3 linked regions of the Arabidopsis thaliana genome follow. The protein of the gene in region 3 purifies or fractionates together with the protein of the main gene of each other region. This does not show direct contact. Each region holds a gene or a part of one and is shown on either strand. Other genes may lie near its edges.

Region 1 (5,166 bases), on a different chromosome or scaffold from region 3:
TTCACGTGTGGTAAAATATGGCAGATTTTGTAAAGCCTATAAGAATATGGCATGGATTGTAAATTCTTGAGTGAAATATGGCAGATTTTGCAAGATTCCTAAATATTTGGTAAAGATAAACTGTAGTCGCTCATAATTAATTATCGGCTAAGCTTCATCGGCCTTTTGCTTCTTCTTCCACCCAAATAAAACTTCAGGTACCGAAGCTAAATTAAAATTCATTAGGGTTCTTCTTTCCTTACATCGCTGTAATTTTCGTTTCCTTCTTCTTCTTTAGTTTTAATTTCAGGGTAGATATGGAGATTGAGAGTCACGTTTCAGTCCCTGGGAAGAATCTAGTTAAAGTAGAGTTCAAGCTTGGGACAGAGAGCTACACAATTGATTCAATCAAGGGTGATACTGTATTGGACCAATTGGTTTCGATGAAAGAAGAAAGTATGAAGATACTTAAGGATTTTATCACAAAGCATAATGTTCCAGATGATGATGTCCCTGACCAAATCTTGTCTGATGATGAAGAAGGTGATGATGATGATGCTTCTCCTGTAATATGTCCTGTGAAACCACCCAAGAAGACAAAGATTTGAGTTTTTCCTTTTGCTTATCACTTGCTGTCTTGTCTTTTTTCCATTGATGTTGCTTAGATTTTGAACCTTTGTTCAAATTTTCTGTTTGTGGAACAGTTCTGTTTATCTAAAGAAGAATATGAGGACTTGGGTTAAGTTATGTTCAAATGTTTGCATCTGCTAGGTGGAATTTAGTAATGGTGTTGTTGAATTATTACTTAAGGTTGGTGATTGCATTGCTTTGAATGCTCATTGAGTTATTGAAGGAAGCTCTTGGAACTTCAGGGAAACTGTGATGACACTAGAGAACAGAACAAAGGTATTTTGGGCATTAGATGCAGGACTGATTTGGTTACATTACGTATTACTGGTTAGTGTTAATGTTCATGATTGATTCAGGAACTCGCAAAGTCTCATGTTTGACGCTTAGTAAGTCTAACATGTTAGAGTTTAAGAAAGAGTAGGGTTGGTGAGAAAACGTCTCATGTTCTTCTGTTTTGTCGCTGAGATGTAAGAGATTCTGTGACCTGATGAATCTTATCAGTGGAGGACAAAGAAGGATTTGGGTATCAGCACAGACCAGTCACTGGCAGAGATAGCAGAAAATGGTTTAGTCGACATGATCATAAAGGATTTTAAAGTTGTCACGAGAAATCGATTCATCACATTATGTTGATAATTCAACAGTTACTATCAATATTAGTTATATATCCTCTCAAAGCATGTGTGGTATCATAGTTCTACGAAACAAATAGTACATCACTAGTTGAAATGAAAATCTCACAGGTAAACAAAATGTTGGATGAGAGATCTTTAGCAGAATCACTCTAAATTCTTCATTCACAATGTAAACGCTACACCATTGTCTAACAACTCAACAAAGTATAGCAAATCTCTGAACATGCCAAGAAACATCTGGCAGGTACGCAGTTAACCAAGTAGAATGTGATTCTTAACCGTCATCACTGTAGCTTCTCGAGTTCTGACATCCTTTCGATGATTGCCTGCGAATTAAAACAAGTCCCCAACATTTAAAAGTTTAGCACTTGAGCAAGAGCATGTGTGATACATTTAAGTGAAAGAGAGAAGCTTGAAACAAAAATTTCACACCCTTTTGCTTGTTTCTTGGAGCTCCCCAGCAAGAATGAACTCATCGAGTATCAAGTACACCTTTCAGTTTAAGTCATAGGGAACTAGTTAGCAATTATTAGAGTACAAACACAGATCAAATCTAGAAACACTGTAGCATCTGCATATATAAACACAAATAGGGAATGCTTTTCAAGGCTGCATACAGATATTTATCTAATGGGTCACGATGGTCAGCTTAGAATTGGGACAAGTATACTGAGAAGAAAACGAAACTAGCTTTTGATTTTCGCAAACAAAAGCTTAGTTTGATATACCCTTGTAAGCTTAATATATGAGAATTCTCAGAAAACCATTTTAAAACATCTGGGAGAATTCACTTAACTAGTTCAAAACTTGTAAGCATTCAATACTCAAAAGACAAAGCAAAATCCCAGTGTTTATTCAAAACCAGTTGTTGTACAGCATCACAACTTAAAGTTATGAATCCAACGAAGCAGTTCCAGAAGCTATTTACAAAGGATAAGAGTAAGTAAAGAGGTTAAGTACCTTGTGGAAATTAAACACCAAATCTAGCTCACAAACATTGCTGAAGAAATGGTCCAATATCTCCACAAACAAATGGATACTCTCCAAGTAAGCCAACTCATTGTCGGTTATATCCACGCACACAGAGAAAAACAATCCAGCATAACGCCTGTATATCACCTTGTGTGTTCTAAACTGAAAATAGTTGCAAAACAGTTTCATCATTCATACATTAACATTCACAATGACACCCACTCACATAAAACGCATTCCATATTATTGTTTCTCAATCACACTTCTACTACATCTCGAATAATCTATCTCCAACAGCCCTAATCTTGTTATACAAAACCTAAATCAGGTTCAAACCTAAGACAATTTCAACAAGCCAATGCTTTTTAAAATCAATCAAATTATACAAAATCTGATTCAAGAATGATAAATTTTACAAAATGAAAACAGCAAACCTCAACGAAGTTGGTGAATTTGGCGTCGCGATTCACCACTAATCTATGAACCTGTGAAAAGAATTAAGAATCAGAAACCTAAAAAGGATAAAAAAAGGAAGATGATAGAATTTGAAATGAGTAGTACCTCGTATTCGACTTTGTGTTTCTCGGATTCTTCGAGAGGGACATAGTATTTGGCTAGACGAGTCTTACCTTGTCTGTTCTGCAATAATATGAATCGGATCTGGACAAATTGGGAGAGAGGTGGATCAGAATTGAGCGTCAGACATGAACAAAGGAAAACAAAGTGGAAGAGAAATAAAGCAGTGTACCATTTTCTCTGCAAAATCTAATGGAGAATTCAGGAGAAATCGTGAGCGATCAGAGGAATTTTCTTCTTTCAGATCTCACTTTGAATTTTCACGACCTTTGTTGAAAACAGGTTCGTAAAGCAGCCAAACTATCCAGTCAAAAAGATGGAGTTTTTAAGAAAAAAATTGATTTAGGAGGAAATAGAAAAATAAGCTTGGAGCTAGAAAAGATTTGTGAAATAGAATTTTTGTTTTAAAAATTTGATTTAACTACAACTTTTTTTTTCCAACTCAATGAAATATTATGTGTTTCATATTCGTATCCTCTCAAAACTAGTTACAAATCTGTTAATTTTTAAATTTTAATTGGATATTTTATGAAAGTTCAAAAAATATGATAAAAGTTTTATTAATTTTTTTTTGTTATAAGGCTTTCTTTTTTTTTTGGTGAAAATCAGAAGAAAAACCTTAATCGAACATGTCGTGACACGATAGTTCAGACTTATCATCCCTAAATATCGAAATCAAAGTATTCGGGAGAACATCAAATGCATGAAAATCTAGAAACAATGAAAACGCATGTAATTTGTCAATCCATTTGTGAAACGGTTGATCTTCCTTTATACGTGAAATATTAGGACTATCCAGTACTGCAAAACCTTTTTGAATGCTAATAAATTGTATTATCCATTTTGGATATCCATATTGCAAATTTTAATATTTGTAATTAACTTTCCCTCTAACATATATTAAATTTACTTACAAATATCTGCATATTTTTAATGGGATCAAAGATGATATAGCAAATCAAATAAGAGTACTACAAATATTTTGCCTTGCCCTATATTTAATTATGACATTGGGTTTGATTAGTAAGATCCAATAGATTTGTTTGCAAACAAAACAAAACAAACAGCTTTGGAGATTACCAATCATATGAGCGGTTGGAAAAAGTGATTAAAAGAGAGAAAAAATGGACGATTGCCAACTCTAAAAACTAAACGTTTGGTGGTTAAAATTTATTTGTTAGTTAAAATGATATTAAAAGTTTTCAAAAAAAATAATATATATTACTCTAGAAAAGAATCTTTAAAACTATTATCTATATTTAATTTATTGATTTATACAAAGCAATGGTACTAGTCAGCCGTTTGTTACTAAACATAACTTATCGGTTTGTTTAAACAAAGTTACAAATCTAACTCATTGATTAGACATAATTCATAACTTCTACTTCATTTAGAGTGTTTCACAAACCAAATAGGGATAGATTTATATCCAAAATTATAAATCGTATCAAAATTTTCACTTTGGAAGTAAAAGGATTTTCTAGTGTTGTACGAAGTGGTCCAAGACATAATCTTCTGCTAGTTCGTTGCTCCTCTTTACAATCTTATTGATATTGATATGATATCTTATATAAATGTACACAAACAAATGGACCAAAAGTCCTCCTATACTCATGAAGTAGAGGTCCAAGTACTAGTAAATGGAGTTAGTGGCCGCCAAAAGAGCAGCACCGAGCCCAGACACGTCTTTGGTATGTTTGATCGCAACGTGACTTGCAAGCTTATGGCCAAGAAGCTCGACTAGTGCGTCTTGCATATACTGTCGATATTGTGGGTACTTCTCATACAGTGCACCGTCCATAGCCACAACGGTTCTTTTACCTGAACCCATTCTTTTGGTATCTTTTTCAATCTTCTCCAGAATTGCCACTATACCAGCTCCTGCTAGACGCCCTCCGCGTTTCACTACTGTGTCACACACTTCCACCACTCTCCTCCTTGCATTCATATTCGCCTCTACCTATTTTCAATAGCTCGATCAGGTTGGTACAGTTATCAAATCTATGGATGTGATTAGCCTTATACATTAACAACTTACATCTAAAAAGTCGTATAGGATTGATCCAACATCCCGAAGATCATCTGTATTGTCCTCTTGCATTTTGCATAGATGCTCGGTCCTTTACAAAATTTACAAAAAAAAAAATAATGAATAAAACTGTCAATCAGAATTTACAACACTTTCCTAGCTAATCAAGTTATTAAGGTATTGAATCTAGGGGTGAGCATATATAGACCGCACCGAACCAAAGCTGAACCGAAATGTTTGAGCATATTGGTATTTCCTGGTTTAAAATCGAACAAACCGAAATTGTAACTGAACCAAAATTGAAACTTAACTAACAAAATGATCTTGTGTAATTTTTTAACCTGA
Region 2 (6,619 bases), on a different chromosome or scaffold from region 3:
ATTATAAATACGGATTGATAACATTTCATATCGAAACATTTCATACATTTTATATCTGTAATGTTACAACCAGTCTAAAGCCAAGGATTCTAGAAACTAGAAACAAATTTTACTAAAATTAATTGAGGGAAAACTCAAGAATGTGTGTGTGATCATTGAAGAAATGAAGAATGTGTGTTAGAGTGAGTGAATATTCAAAAGACTCAAATAGGTTTTTAATGAACAATAGGGAACCCGAGGAAACGCGTGACTCTAAGATATATGAATTTATTTTGCACTTATTACTTTTGATTAATTTTTATATTCTAACCCTTTTTTATATACTATTTTTTTCAGTGCAAGTAATGAATGAAGTAACGAGATGAGAGTCTAGTTTCAAAGTTTTGAATCTTTTTGGTCAATGTCGTCTCTATTTGTTGACCATATTATACGTTTGACTTTAACCCCATTTTTCTTTAATCTCATTCTTCTTCTTTGCTTCAATGGTTGACGAATTCTTACCGTAGAAGTTGCATCTAAATATACCAAAGATTAATACTGCGAAAATATGATAAAGAAGATTTTTTTTTTTTGTACTCTCTAGAAATTTGTAAACGATATTATTAGTGTTTGATTAAAGACTCCAATTTTTAACATAATGTCTATATCCACATAATGAATTTGTGTCTCTACTATATGTAGTGTTCCCGTCATATATGCATTTTTGCGATAGTCAATCGGATCTTTGTATTGCGGTTAATTGATCTGGTCTTTCTTGAGCGTACAAAATAAATAGAATTGTACGTATTATTAGAGATGGTTACATTTGGTTTACATTATTAGTTAAAGTTAACCAATAATGTAAACCAATAAAGTTAACCAATAATGTAAACCAAATGTAACTATCTCTAATACGTATGTTGACTATGATGTACTTCAAGACAAGTTCATCATCACTTAACGTAACTAACACTATATTAGTTAAGTTCAAGACTTATTGCCCATGATTCATTTGTAAACTATGAAGTAACATATCTCTGATTTTTTCCTCTTATGTTTGATAAATTAGTCATTATAATTAGTGTCTTGCCAAAAAGTACACTTCTATCTTATTAGCATTCTACATTACAAACTATTAATTTCACTACGTATAGCGGTATAGGGAGAAGATCAATAAGGCGATCACAATATTAGTTAAGTTCCGAGTCTTGCATTACCATTGTCCTATGAATCACAGAACAAGAGGACGCATATATATATAGTATTTATAAAAGACTAAGATAGTCACAGAACAAGAGGACGCATATATAATTGACAAATACTCAAAACATGTGAAAAGATAAGGGCTATTACGTCTTCATTAAGATCCCATAATCTTTATGATGAGAACTTAAGAGCCAAACTAGCTATGTAACAAAATATCAAGTTTGAAAGTAATAAACTGCTTGAATAAGCTTCAAGTTCACTACATGGTTTAGAAAGGTTTAAAATCTATTACTTTCAAACGCTTTTATTGTGTACCAATCAATCCAACAAAGTATGCAATCGTACTAATCAATCCAACAAAGTATACACTCACACCGGTAACATCAAAAATTCAAAAATTCAAAATTTCATGTTACCAATCAATCCAACAAAATATACAATCCCTGAGACCGAGTTATAATTTGTTGGAATGATTGGTACCAGTGAAATTGTGTTGTCGTGTGAACATCAACACATAGGAGGTAATATACGTAAATATGCTAGCAATCAAGCTAAGTATACAAAACACTTCATGTTGCAGTGTTCTATTGAAATTTTATATATCGAACTAGAATACTATCATGGAGAATGATCAAATGTTGCATATCTTCATATCCACGAAAAATGAGTACACAAACATTCGATCATACCCCATGACAGTTTTCTAGTTTATACTTGATAGTCCTCACGATTTCATGGTGGTGACACTACACAAACCCTAGATTCCCCTAAAGTTTTTGTGAAAAACGCATATGTTCGATTTTAGGTTTTACTTCTATCCTTGATTCATTACAAACCTATTTTTATACTAATTCGTCGTTAACCTAATAATTTTAACCTACGAAACCCAACCTATATGGGCCTGACTTTATGTAATGATCCAATGGGCCTTTCTTCTTCAATGATGACTTTCTTCATTGACTCTCCTTCTACTTTCGATGGTATTAAATTTGACGGAAAAAGTAAAACGATACCGTCTGGGTGAAAGGCAGAGCTCTTTGCTTCTGAATATTATTATTTTCTTAAATTCTTCCGTTTTTTTTTTTAATCCAACCACAAGGATCGATAACGAAATCATCAGATCGCCAGAAAAAAAAAAAAAATTGCGAAATGGAGAATCTGAGCTGCAGATCTGCGTCAATCTCCATCTAGATGTTGTTGCTACTTCTTCCTCTATAGAACCATAATTTCATCAGATCTCGCTGATTAATCATCCCCATTTGGATCTGATCGAAACTCTTAGGGAAGAACATGGCAGGAGCTGCCTCCGCGCTGTTTCTGCTTGATATCAAGGGACGCGTTCTCGTCTGGCGTGATTATCGTGGCGATGTCTCCGCTGCTCAAGCCGAGCGATTCTTCACTAAGCTCATCGAGAAAGAGGTTGTTCTGATCTTCCTCTTATCGCTAATTGGTCTTTGTTTATTGCTTGGTTACTGTAGAATTTTCAGAGAAACATAGAGTTAGCGAACGAACTTGTAGATTTGTGTTTGAAAGATTCGTCAATTGGAATTGAAACATTTCGAAGATAATGGATTCGTGTCCATTTTCATCTGCACTGGAAATGAATTTTGAAGATAATGGATTCGTATCAGTCTTTGTGATCTGATGCCGCTGAAATTTTTTGGAAGTAATGAACAAGTTTGATCATTGGTTAAATGTTTTGGATTAGAATTTGATTTGAATCTGTACTTTTGAAGCATTCTGGTTTAAATCAGAGTAATCATCGTTTTGTTTAATTGTTCAGGGTGATTCACAGTCAAATGATCCAGTTGCTTACGATAATGGGGTGACTTATATGTTTGTACAACATAGTAATGTATACTTGATGATAGCATCCAGGCAGAATTGTAATGCTGCCAGTCTTCTCTTCTTTCTTCACCGCGTTGTCGATGTAAGTATGGCTGGTCAATTCTTTAGTTTTTCTCTTAAGGTTCCATCTTTTTCCTGGATATTTGATGTAATGGCAATGGTATCTGTTATCTGGTTATAGGTTTTCAAGCATTACTTCGAGGAGTTAGAAGAGGAATCATTGAGGGATAACTTTGTGGTAGTGGTATGTTAAGCTTCTGTCATCGCTCTTTTAGTACTATTTCGCAATATATTTTTCTATTACTTGGGCAATCAAAAAGATCCTTAAAATTTTGGAAAAGTATTTGTCATTGTTAGATGCTGAAATTGATTTTTTGGTGCTGGCAGTATGAGCTACTTGACGAGATGATGGACTTTGGTTACCCTCAGTATACCGAAGCAAGAATTCTCAGTGAATTCATCAAGACTGATGCATATAGAATGGAAGTTACACAGAGACCTCCAATGGCTGTGACGAATGCTGTCTCCTGGAGGAGTGAGGGAATACAGTACAAGAAGAATGAAGTGAGTGCCATTGTTTTCGCAAGATAGGAATATGTTTCTGATGTTTCGGTTTGCAAATAATGACAACCTGCTTCTTTTTCCAGGTTTTCTTGGATGTTATTGAGAATGTAAATATTCTTGTCAACAGTAATGGGCAAATTGTCAGGTCTGATGTTGTTGGAGCGCTGAAGATGCGAACTTACTTGACGTATGTCAACACATCAAATTTACGATATAGTTCCTAATCAGCCAAAGCATGTTAAATCACGTCCCTTTTTGACTATTTTGCTCTTTGATCCATTCTATTGCAGTGGAATGCCAGAGTGTAAGTTAGGACTGAATGATAGAGTATTGCTGGAAGCGCAGGGACGAGCAACTAAGGGAAAAGCCATTGATTTGGAGGACATCAAATTTCATCAGTACGTCTTTAAGTTTTTATTATATTGAAACTTGGAAAGTCTTCACTGATCTTAACCCTTCTATTTTCTTTTTGTTCAAAAAGATTATATACTTGAGTTTTATGTATTCTCTTCTTCAACAACCATTTATTTAATGCAGGTGTGTTCGATTGGCCCGTTTTGAAAACGATAGGACGATATCTTTCATACCACCTGATGGGGCTTTTGATCTGATGACATATAGACTCAGCACTCAGGTTTGACATGTGGGATATAGCATCTACTGGAATTGTTCCACGTCTTCAACAAGTAAATATCATGATTTGTTTCTTTTATGTTCAGGTAAAGCCACTTATATGGGTGGAAGCACAAATAGAAAGTCATTCAAGAAGTCGTGTTGAGATGCTCATAAAAGCTAGAAGTCAGTTCAAGGAACGAAGGTAAATATATTCTATGGTATTTGTGCCACTTTCCTTTTCTGTCTTACTGTCATGCAAAGATCCTGATTGATCAGATTCTTTAAACCTTTGATCACGAACATTCTTTTTGTAGCACCGCAACGAACGTTGAGATTGAGTTGCCTGTACCAACCGATGCATCTAACCCCACCGTTAGGACATCTCTAGGGTCTGCCTCTTATGCTCCTGAAAAAGATGCGTTAGTCTGGAAAATCAAATCTTTCCCGGGGAACAAGGTATAACACTAACAAGGTTCAATAAACTCTTAAATTCAGTTGAAACAGTCAGCAATGTAGACTATGTAGTATCAATGCTAACCTTCAGAAAACCAATATAGGAGTACATGTTAAGGGCAGAGTTCCATCTTCCAAGTATCACTGCAGAGGAAGCAACTCCTGAGCGAAAGGCTCCTATCCGTGTCAAATTTGAGATCCCTTATTTCACTGTTTCAGGGATTCAGGTAAGCTTGTGCTTAATAATAAATGGTTACTGTCTCTTCCACAATGTCATATATATAATATATATGTTCTTTGGTGTGTAGGTTCGGTACCTAAAGATTATTGAGAAGAGTGGGTACCAAGCACTTCCATGGGTGAGATACATAACCATGGCTGGTGAGTACGAACTAAGACTCGTGTAATGCACATTTAGTTTCATCGTCTATGTCAATTGTGATTCCCACATCCCTCAAGGAATTGCCTGAATCAAAGAAGCAAAACGAAACAGGACAAAAGTAGAGGGAAAAGAAAACGTTTTGAAACATTTTAGCTGATCAAATTTTCCTTTAATTTGTTTTAGAAGCCATATTCTTGTGAATTTGTCTTTATGGTGATTCTATTTTATTTTACATGAGGCTCTCTGTAACCTTTCACGACATGGTTCATTATTTTCCTTTAGACTGCTACATTTCTGTCTATGTGTTCGTTCTGCGATCAAAATTGTTAAACGTTGAGGTTTTGGTTTTGTTTTTTGGGGCATTCGTCTATGTTTACATAGGTTTCTCTCGAGTTATGATCAAAATGAAACTACATAAACAAATTATGCTTCAATAGAGTGAGGTGAGAGAGCCTTACAATAGAGAGAACGTATATTTTGGTGTTTCTCATATTGTTTAACTGATATAGTATGGGCCGAAATGAAATAATCGTCAGGCCCATTAAAAAGCCCATAATCACCATACTTTCTCCTCCAATTCTGTTTCGAGCTTGGGAAGTGACAGTGAATTAGGGTTTTACTCAAAAAACCTTCTCGTTGTCGTTGTTTACTGCTCCGACGAGAAAATGGCGATGCGACATTTGAGCCGATCGAGAGACGTTACAAAGAGATCGACAAAGAAGTACATCGAAGAACCTCTGTACAATCGCCTCTTCAAAGATGGTGGTACAGAGGTCAAAGTTCGACAGCAGCTTAATCAGTTCCTCAAAGGCACTAAACACGTCTTCAAATGGGAGGTCGGCGATACGATCAAGAAACTCCGAAATCGCGGCCTCTATTACCCAGCTCTCAAGGTTTCATAAATCCAAATTGCATTTTCGATTCTCTAGGATTAGCTTCACAATAAGCATTTGCTTCAAATCTGTTGAATACATATAGAAATGTAGATTCTTAAGTGGTATTTTGATGCTCATTATGAACAATTTAGTAATTGTTGAATAATTTTTTCACTGTGTGATGATTGTGTCTTTAGATTTCATATTGTGGAGTTGTTTTTTTGGTTTGTAGCTATCTGAAGTTATGGAAGAGAGAGGTATGAACAAGACAGTGAGTGATCAAGCAATCCATCTTGATCTTGTTGCTAAAGCTCGTGAAATTACTGCTGGGGAGAATTATTTTGTTGATCTTCCGGAAACATCTAAGACGGAACTCACGTATGGGTCTCTTTTGAACTGTTACTGCAAGGAGTTGTTGACAGAGAAAGCGGAAGGTTTGCTGAATAAGATGAAAGAGCTCAACATTACTCCTAGTTCCATGTCTTATAACAGCCTCATGACTCTTTACACCAAGACAGGTGAGACTGAGAAAGTTCCGGCGATGATTCAAGAATTGAAGGCGGAGAATGTGATGCCGGATTCGTACACTTATAATGTCTGGATGAGGGCTTTGGCTGCTACTAATGATATTTCTGGTGTTGAGAGAGTCATTGAAGAGATGAATAGAGATGGTAGAGTTGCTCCGGATTGGACTACG
Region 3 (5,967 bases):
CTTAACAAATTACTGTTCTAGCTAAGCTTAGATGCAGGAAGTGGGTATGCAAGATCTCACCAAGCCTAGATATCTGATGTTGGGCTCACGGACAGAAATAAACTTGCCAAGAAGAGCAACACACTGTGACATCATTTCCTTCTCAGCATCAAGATGCATGACCTATATCAAAACACATTAACAAGTTAGGGGTTGCACACTAAGCCAGAAAGTTTACTAGAGTGTGCTCATCAATCTAATCATCGCGAAGAAAAGCTCTCTTTGAGGTTCAATATTTCTTGTGTAAATCTCTGATATATGTCTTCGAATTCTCTCTCATGGCATTTCATGGACAGATAGTTGACTTGAGTATAATCAACAATTGAACCTCAAAAAGTTAATGCTATTTCTTAGATAGAGCTTACCAGGGAGAGAGCTTCAAACAGCACGGCATGAGACGCATTGTTTTTATTCACATTTTTCACAACATCTGTGCCCATCAATATTCGCTGAAGGACCTGAAATTTCCATGAAATGCCATGAGAGAGATTTCGAAGACATATATCAGATATTTACACAAGAAAATTTGTACCTCAAAGAGAGCTTTTCTGGTACTGGGATCTTCAATGGTTGGAAAATATTGAAGAGCCCTCATTGCCTTAACCTGTACTGCCAAAGATATATAAGTATCCAACAACCACAACATACCAAAGCTGGGGCAAGCCTCTATTTTCATAAGCTAATTTCACATAAAATGTTTAAAATGCATGAGATTGGGAAAAGGATGTGATTAAAAAATATTGAACGTATTAACCGAGTTAAGACAAACCTGGAGCCAAGGAGATGGGATGCCATAGTATGTGTACTCCTGAGGAACATCCTGGTTCCTAGCAAGGCGTTCTAATATTTTGACACATTTAGGTAGACAACTTGAGTACGCCTCATGATTGTTAGATACCAGAGCTACAAGAAGACTCGTAGAAGACGTCAAGACACCAAGATCTCGTTCATCCAAAAGTTGTGCCATACGATCCGCCCTGGAAGTATACGACAAAGTGAATATGAAAGATGCACAAGTAAACTCAAACAACCAGTAACCCAAGAGTGTTCACACACACCAGCCATCAACGTTGACAGCATCCGGATTTTTTCGGAATAAGCGCAGTAGGCACAGTGCCGCTTTTTTCCTTACGAGAGGTCTGCAACTACTAGAAATCTGCAGCGAACAAGCCCCAAAACATTTATATGTTTACTTATATCGGGAAAAAAAACATAACATGTCATCTTTGGGAGTCACTTACAAGTAGCTTTTGAACATCAGGTGCCAATGATTCAGCAAAATCTCTTCCACCAATATTTCCAACCTACAGGACAAAATAAGCAGGGAAATGTAAGAGAGCTAGAAGAAAAAAAGCACCAGTTCAATGAAGTAAGTGGCTTTGAATCGCAAAATAATAGAGCACAAAAGATAAATGTATCCAAAGACTTCCACTAAAATAGTCATTCAACTGCATTCATAATCAGAAAGACCTCACTAAGCTCTAAAACCTCAACACAGCATGGACAAAAGCCAACATACCAAGGTCAGTGCTAAGCATTGGAAAGTCTCATTCCGACCAATAATATCGTTCCGCACTGTATTTATAGCCAACTTCAAAAAGTCATGGTTCTCATTGAGCAAGCAAGATGTAACAATGTAGCCAACCTGAAATTATGGATGAAAAGTTCAATACCTGCAAATTTGGTAGTGAGCATAAAATAATACAAACTGCAAATACAAACCCTTGGATACAATGCATGGTTCCTGGTTAAGATTTGCTACGATGTTACTAAGTAACTTATGCGTCTAAGTAAATGCCTCCAGTACTTTACCAGGTCCATTCAAACTGAATAAGTTGCAAGCTTGTGAAATAGTATCTAAATCCAGCATCCATTATCTTCAGAGATTTTTTTTTTTGTTTCAGCTTGCTCACTAGACTTGAATCAAACAAATACCCCACCCCCACCACACACACACCTATTATCTTCTCCTACCCTTAGAAAGCAATATTTCATTGGTTACAAAACGTTGGCTTACCTGCTTTTCTGGATACTTTGGCGCAGATATAAGAGAAACTGCCTCCATATGGCCAAAATCCACATCGTAGCCTAGCATATGTATATAAAGCATTTTCCAGACATATTTCTTCTTTTTGTATGGTGTTAAGACCTGAAAACATAAAACAAGTTAAAGTAAGAGTGCATGATTAATTTATTTCTAACATTTTAAAATAAGTTTGGTGTTGGTCCAACTGGCCACACATGGATCCACTACAGGCCGGCTACAGCTCTACTACGTAGAGTATGGAACCAGATTATCTCTCCAGAACTTCTTACAGCAACAAAGCTTAATGTATTTCGTAATGAGCTTTTCAAAATTTTCCGTGATCTGTATTTCTTTCCTTAGACCATCACTACATAACCGAATTTACTGCCAGGCCATTCTTTTCTTCTAGTTCCTAAATATCATCATATATTTAGTGTCTTATATATCTTGATTGATCTTCTCCCATCTATGGACTTTAAATGCAGTAATGACATTCCAAAGTTGAAAGCAGTACTAGTGATGTTACAAAGGGTAGAATAATGGCTAATCTCTACCGATCTGAGCTAGCTATACAATACTGCCTGTCCAGGTACACACTTAGTGTTATATCAAAAATTTATAGCCTGAATCCGATAAAATAAGAAACTACAGGCTTCCAAAACTATCCACTCGGCAACTCTGGCTTTCCTAATAAAATATTCGGCCAGTGATTGCATCTTTCTTTCAACTACATTCTTATATAACTCCCTAATCAACCTCAGAGGAATAGGTAGCTTCATGGAGAAATCTCCAATATATCTAATCAATACAGAACCTCGGCAGATACTACTCCGTCACTGAATTACCACTCAAAATGAGAATAAAACACAGGCAAACAAAAATGGAGATAATTGAGAGTAACCTTCTCATTCTTGAAGCATGTACGAATGTTTCCGAGCTCCTTATCAACTCGTAGTCTCTCCGCTTCCTTGTTCTGACAATTACGAACGTCGCTGATAAATACGGAGAGACCTCTCATTCCGGTCATGGTGGAACAGAGTCCTCAGATCCACCGTCCTCCACCGCCTCACACGGCGCAGATCCGAACTCGCGAAACCGGATCTAACTATGACAGAAAGCGCAGACCACAGCTGAAGGATTAGCAATTCGCGAGAGCTGAGATCGAAACCCTAATCTAGAAACGGAAAATGACACCTCCAATGGACGAAATTCAAAAAGGAGAGAGTGATCTTTGGAGAAGAGAGAGACAAGCCTGCGGGAAGAGACGAGGGACGACTTTTATTATTTACAACTTTGACTATTCAATTTTGTGTTATTCAGTTTCGTCTGTTTTGATTTTTGAACACATGCGAATTTGGAAAATTCGAAATTGACTCGTCCAAAAACAGAATTCACGAGTTTACAAAAAAAAACAAAAATTAAAACGAGCTAAACAGACGAATTTAAGATTACAAGTTCGAGAAATACAAAAAATAAACGAGTAATTCGAAAAATAAACATGGAATAAACTAATTTTATATATTAAAAATGAAGAAAGCTGGCCATTTCTCAAAAGACTGCACCATTAAAACGAAGTTTGTACAATCTGTCTCAAAATCTTAAACTGTTTTTCACCGCGGTTATGTATTCAATTGGTATTTCAGTATAACATAAGTACATAACCATACCATGAGACCATGAAAAAACCGGATTTTAAATTCAGGTCAAGTTATGGTCCCAACGTAGGGATGATTAATCAAATGATTCACCTTCCTTGGGAGGACAATGTTCCTTTGAACAGTCGTCAGCTTTTGATTACCATTTGGTATTCACATTAATTAATCTATAGGGCATATAATATAAATTGTTCAAATTAAGTAAAGGAGTATAAATAAAATATCATTAAGGGGCACAAAACAGAAACAAGAGAACAAAAGATGAGGATCATGCAGCAGTTGGATGACAGTGGTTACTAAGCTGTCACTCGCAAGATCCTCCATCTATCGAATGATGCCTTACCATCAAAGTATCCTAAGAATATTTTCCTTGCAAATAAATATCGAAAGATTTTTTTGTAATATACTCACTCATAGTTGCTTTAAATATTTTTATTTATTACTTTTAATATCTCCACCTACCAACAATTCTCCTTTTCCCCTTCTCACTTTTAACGGTGGGAAAAGTGAAAAAAAAAACACAGAAGAATGAATCAACGCAAACGTCAAAAATGACGTTTAGTTGACATAATTCGCCATTGTGATCATATTGTTATAAACTTTATAAAAACGCAGAGGCTAACGGCTGATAAAAAGTTTGAGTCATTATTGCAAGTATATGATTCAGAAAAATGAATAAGAGAGACAAGGATACCATGAGAAACTCAACTTCCAAAACCAAATTGAAAATGTTGTATCGAGTAGTATTCCGGTTAGAAGAATCCGGTCCGTATCATGAACCAGATTCTCTTTCTGTAGCTCTCGGTAAATAACCTAATCACACTAATGAAACTCAGATAACTAAACTTCCCCATCAGATTAGAGATACTCTCATACTCCTGAGGATTGACATCTAGGCTAGTTTACTATCCGGTTTGTAACAAAACCGAACCGGTTGATTACTGAACGCCGGACAATTTAGCCCAATCTACAAATTGCATACCGCCATACACATTGTTAGCAAACCGGACTCCCACCGTGAATGCCATAGCGACCACAGGGATACGTTTGGCCGCTGTAGAACCTTCCACGACGCGTTCGAGGCCGTTGATGATTTGGTAACGCGCATTGGAAGATAAGCCGAGGAACACACCTGAACAACAGCGCAATACAGAGAAGAGAGTGAATATATATGTATATGTAATCAACAATTCACAGAGTAAACTTCAGGGTTATCTCTGAGCTCAGCAACTAAATTACCCTCTCCATTGATCTAATATTGCTAACAACAGGACAATGTAGCTAATATCTTCACATAGAATTGTAAGCATAATCTATTCTTGGTATCATTGGCAATTCAGGTTCTTTCCTTTCTAAGAAACTAAGCCCGGTTAAGAAACCGATGGCTGATCACAAGAACTCGGAAAAAGAGTAGACAACACAATATCGACGGTTCAAGACTATCGTTTTCAGTGAACATCAGAGGGGAAAAGCATCGATGATTCTGTAGAACATAGTTAGAGATCAAAAGTAAAGCTTACCCCAGAGAGCAGCGCTTTCGAAAAGAGGTGGAATAGGGACGTCTTCCTCTGATTTCTTCACACTCCTATTAACAAAGGTAACCTCAAATTTCAGTGAAGAACAGTTTTTTAAACAGTCAGAAGATTCATTTCATCATTGAAAAGTAGCAAGATAAAGTCGATGGTGAAAGAATACCGTTTTGCTGTCATGATCAGATTTGCAATTCCCTGACCAATGAGGCCGCAGCCGAATCCAACCGACCCATACAAGAGGCCCTGGACCAAGAATCACATCAATTAATCAAACCAAAGGTAAGCAAGATCCACAAAGGACATTAAAGCAATAGTTCTTCTCCATACCTTGTAGAAGAATGTTGCAATCCGCTGGTTAACTGAGAATTTACAACCCGGTCTTTCTGCTTCAAAAACACTTCAGAAGTACAAAAAAAAAAGCATGTATAAGTACATCTCATCCCGAATACACAGCCACCAGCTCGATAGATATCAGTGGGAACAGTTAACACAAAAGTGAAAAAAACGAGAGAGATACAGTAACAGTATTACCTGCTAGGAAGGGATGCACAAGCACGTTTAAGATCCTTGAATAAACCTGTTGATGCCACAGACGGCTTCCCGATACGTGCATAAGGAGCCAAAAGTCCAACCAAGGCAACATCAACCACAAGACCAACTAAAAGATCAGCAGCATATAACTCAAACTCTGACCAGAAATCTTCCCCTCTCTTCT

What was found. Proteins that work in one complex are often made in the same cells at the same time.
Region 1: the proteins of AT5G22780 (region 3) and AT1G47830 fractionate together in Arabidopsis thaliana (co-fractionation; one large-scale study listed by BioGRID). This does not show direct contact.
Region 2: the proteins of AT5G22780 (region 3) and HAP13 fractionate together in Arabidopsis thaliana (co-fractionation; one large-scale study listed by BioGRID). This does not show direct contact.

What each region holds. Positions count from the first base shown.
Region 1 is NC_003070.9:17,611,818-17,616,983, forward strand, and holds AT1G47830 (SNARE-like superfamily protein), read right to left. Parts: upstream 3,170-5,166; 5' UTR 2,968-3,169; coding exon 2,965-2,967; intron 2,877-2,964; coding exon 2,778-2,876; intron 2,702-2,777; coding exon 2,651-2,701; intron 2,379-2,650; coding exon 2,205-2,378; intron 1,737-2,204; coding exon 1,677-1,736; intron 1,571-1,676; coding exon 1,529-1,570; 3' UTR 1,212-1,528; downstream 1-1,211. Other genes in the region: AT1G47820 (uncharacterized protein), read left to right, coding at 297-587; HXK3 (hexokinase 3), read right to left, coding at 4,426-4,752, 4,831-4,912. UniProt on the Arabidopsis thaliana protein: Subunit of the adaptor protein complex 2 (AP-2). Adaptor protein complexes function in protein transport via transport vesicles in different membrane traffic pathways.
Region 2 is NC_003070.9:22,367,742-22,374,360, reverse strand, and holds HAP13 (Clathrin adaptor complexes medium subunit family protein), read left to right. Parts: upstream 1-2,137; 5' UTR 2,138-2,475; coding exon 2,476-2,604; intron 2,605-2,968; coding exon 2,969-3,115; intron 3,116-3,214; coding exon 3,215-3,277; intron 3,278-3,420; coding exon 3,421-3,597; intron 3,598-3,680; coding exon 3,681-3,784; intron 3,785-3,887; coding exon 3,888-3,995; intron 3,996-4,134; coding exon 4,135-4,231; intron 4,232-4,316; coding exon 4,317-4,414; intron 4,415-4,526; coding exon 4,527-4,668; intron 4,669-4,769; coding exon 4,770-4,892; intron 4,893-4,973; coding exon 4,974-5,072; 3' UTR 5,073-5,408; downstream 5,409-6,619. Other genes in the region: AT1G60770 (Tetratricopeptide repeat (TPR)-like superfamily protein), read left to right, coding at 5,713-5,940, 6,155-6,619. UniProt on the Arabidopsis thaliana protein: Subunit of clathrin-associated adaptor protein complex 1 that plays a role in protein sorting at the trans-Golgi network and early endosomes (TGN/EE).
Region 3 is NC_003076.8:7,594,737-7,600,703, forward strand, and holds the start of AT5G22780 (Adaptor protein complex AP-2, alpha subunit), read right to left. Parts: upstream 3,378-5,967; 5' UTR 3,093-3,377; coding exon 2,967-3,092; intron 2,189-2,966; coding exon 2,057-2,188; intron 1,685-2,056; coding exon 1,559-1,684; intron 1,344-1,558; coding exon 1,281-1,343; intron 1,196-1,280; coding exon 1,098-1,195; intron 1,017-1,097; coding exon 809-1,016; intron 644-808; coding exon 572-643; intron 498-571; coding exon 405-497; intron 163-404; coding exon 61-162; intron 1-60. Other genes in the region: RER1 (reticulata-related 1), read right to left, coding at 4,659-4,852, 5,241-5,305, 5,416-5,495, 5,580-5,649, 5,784-5,967. UniProt on the Arabidopsis thaliana protein: Subunit of the adaptor protein complex 2 (AP-2). Adaptor protein complexes function in protein transport via transport vesicles in different membrane traffic pathways.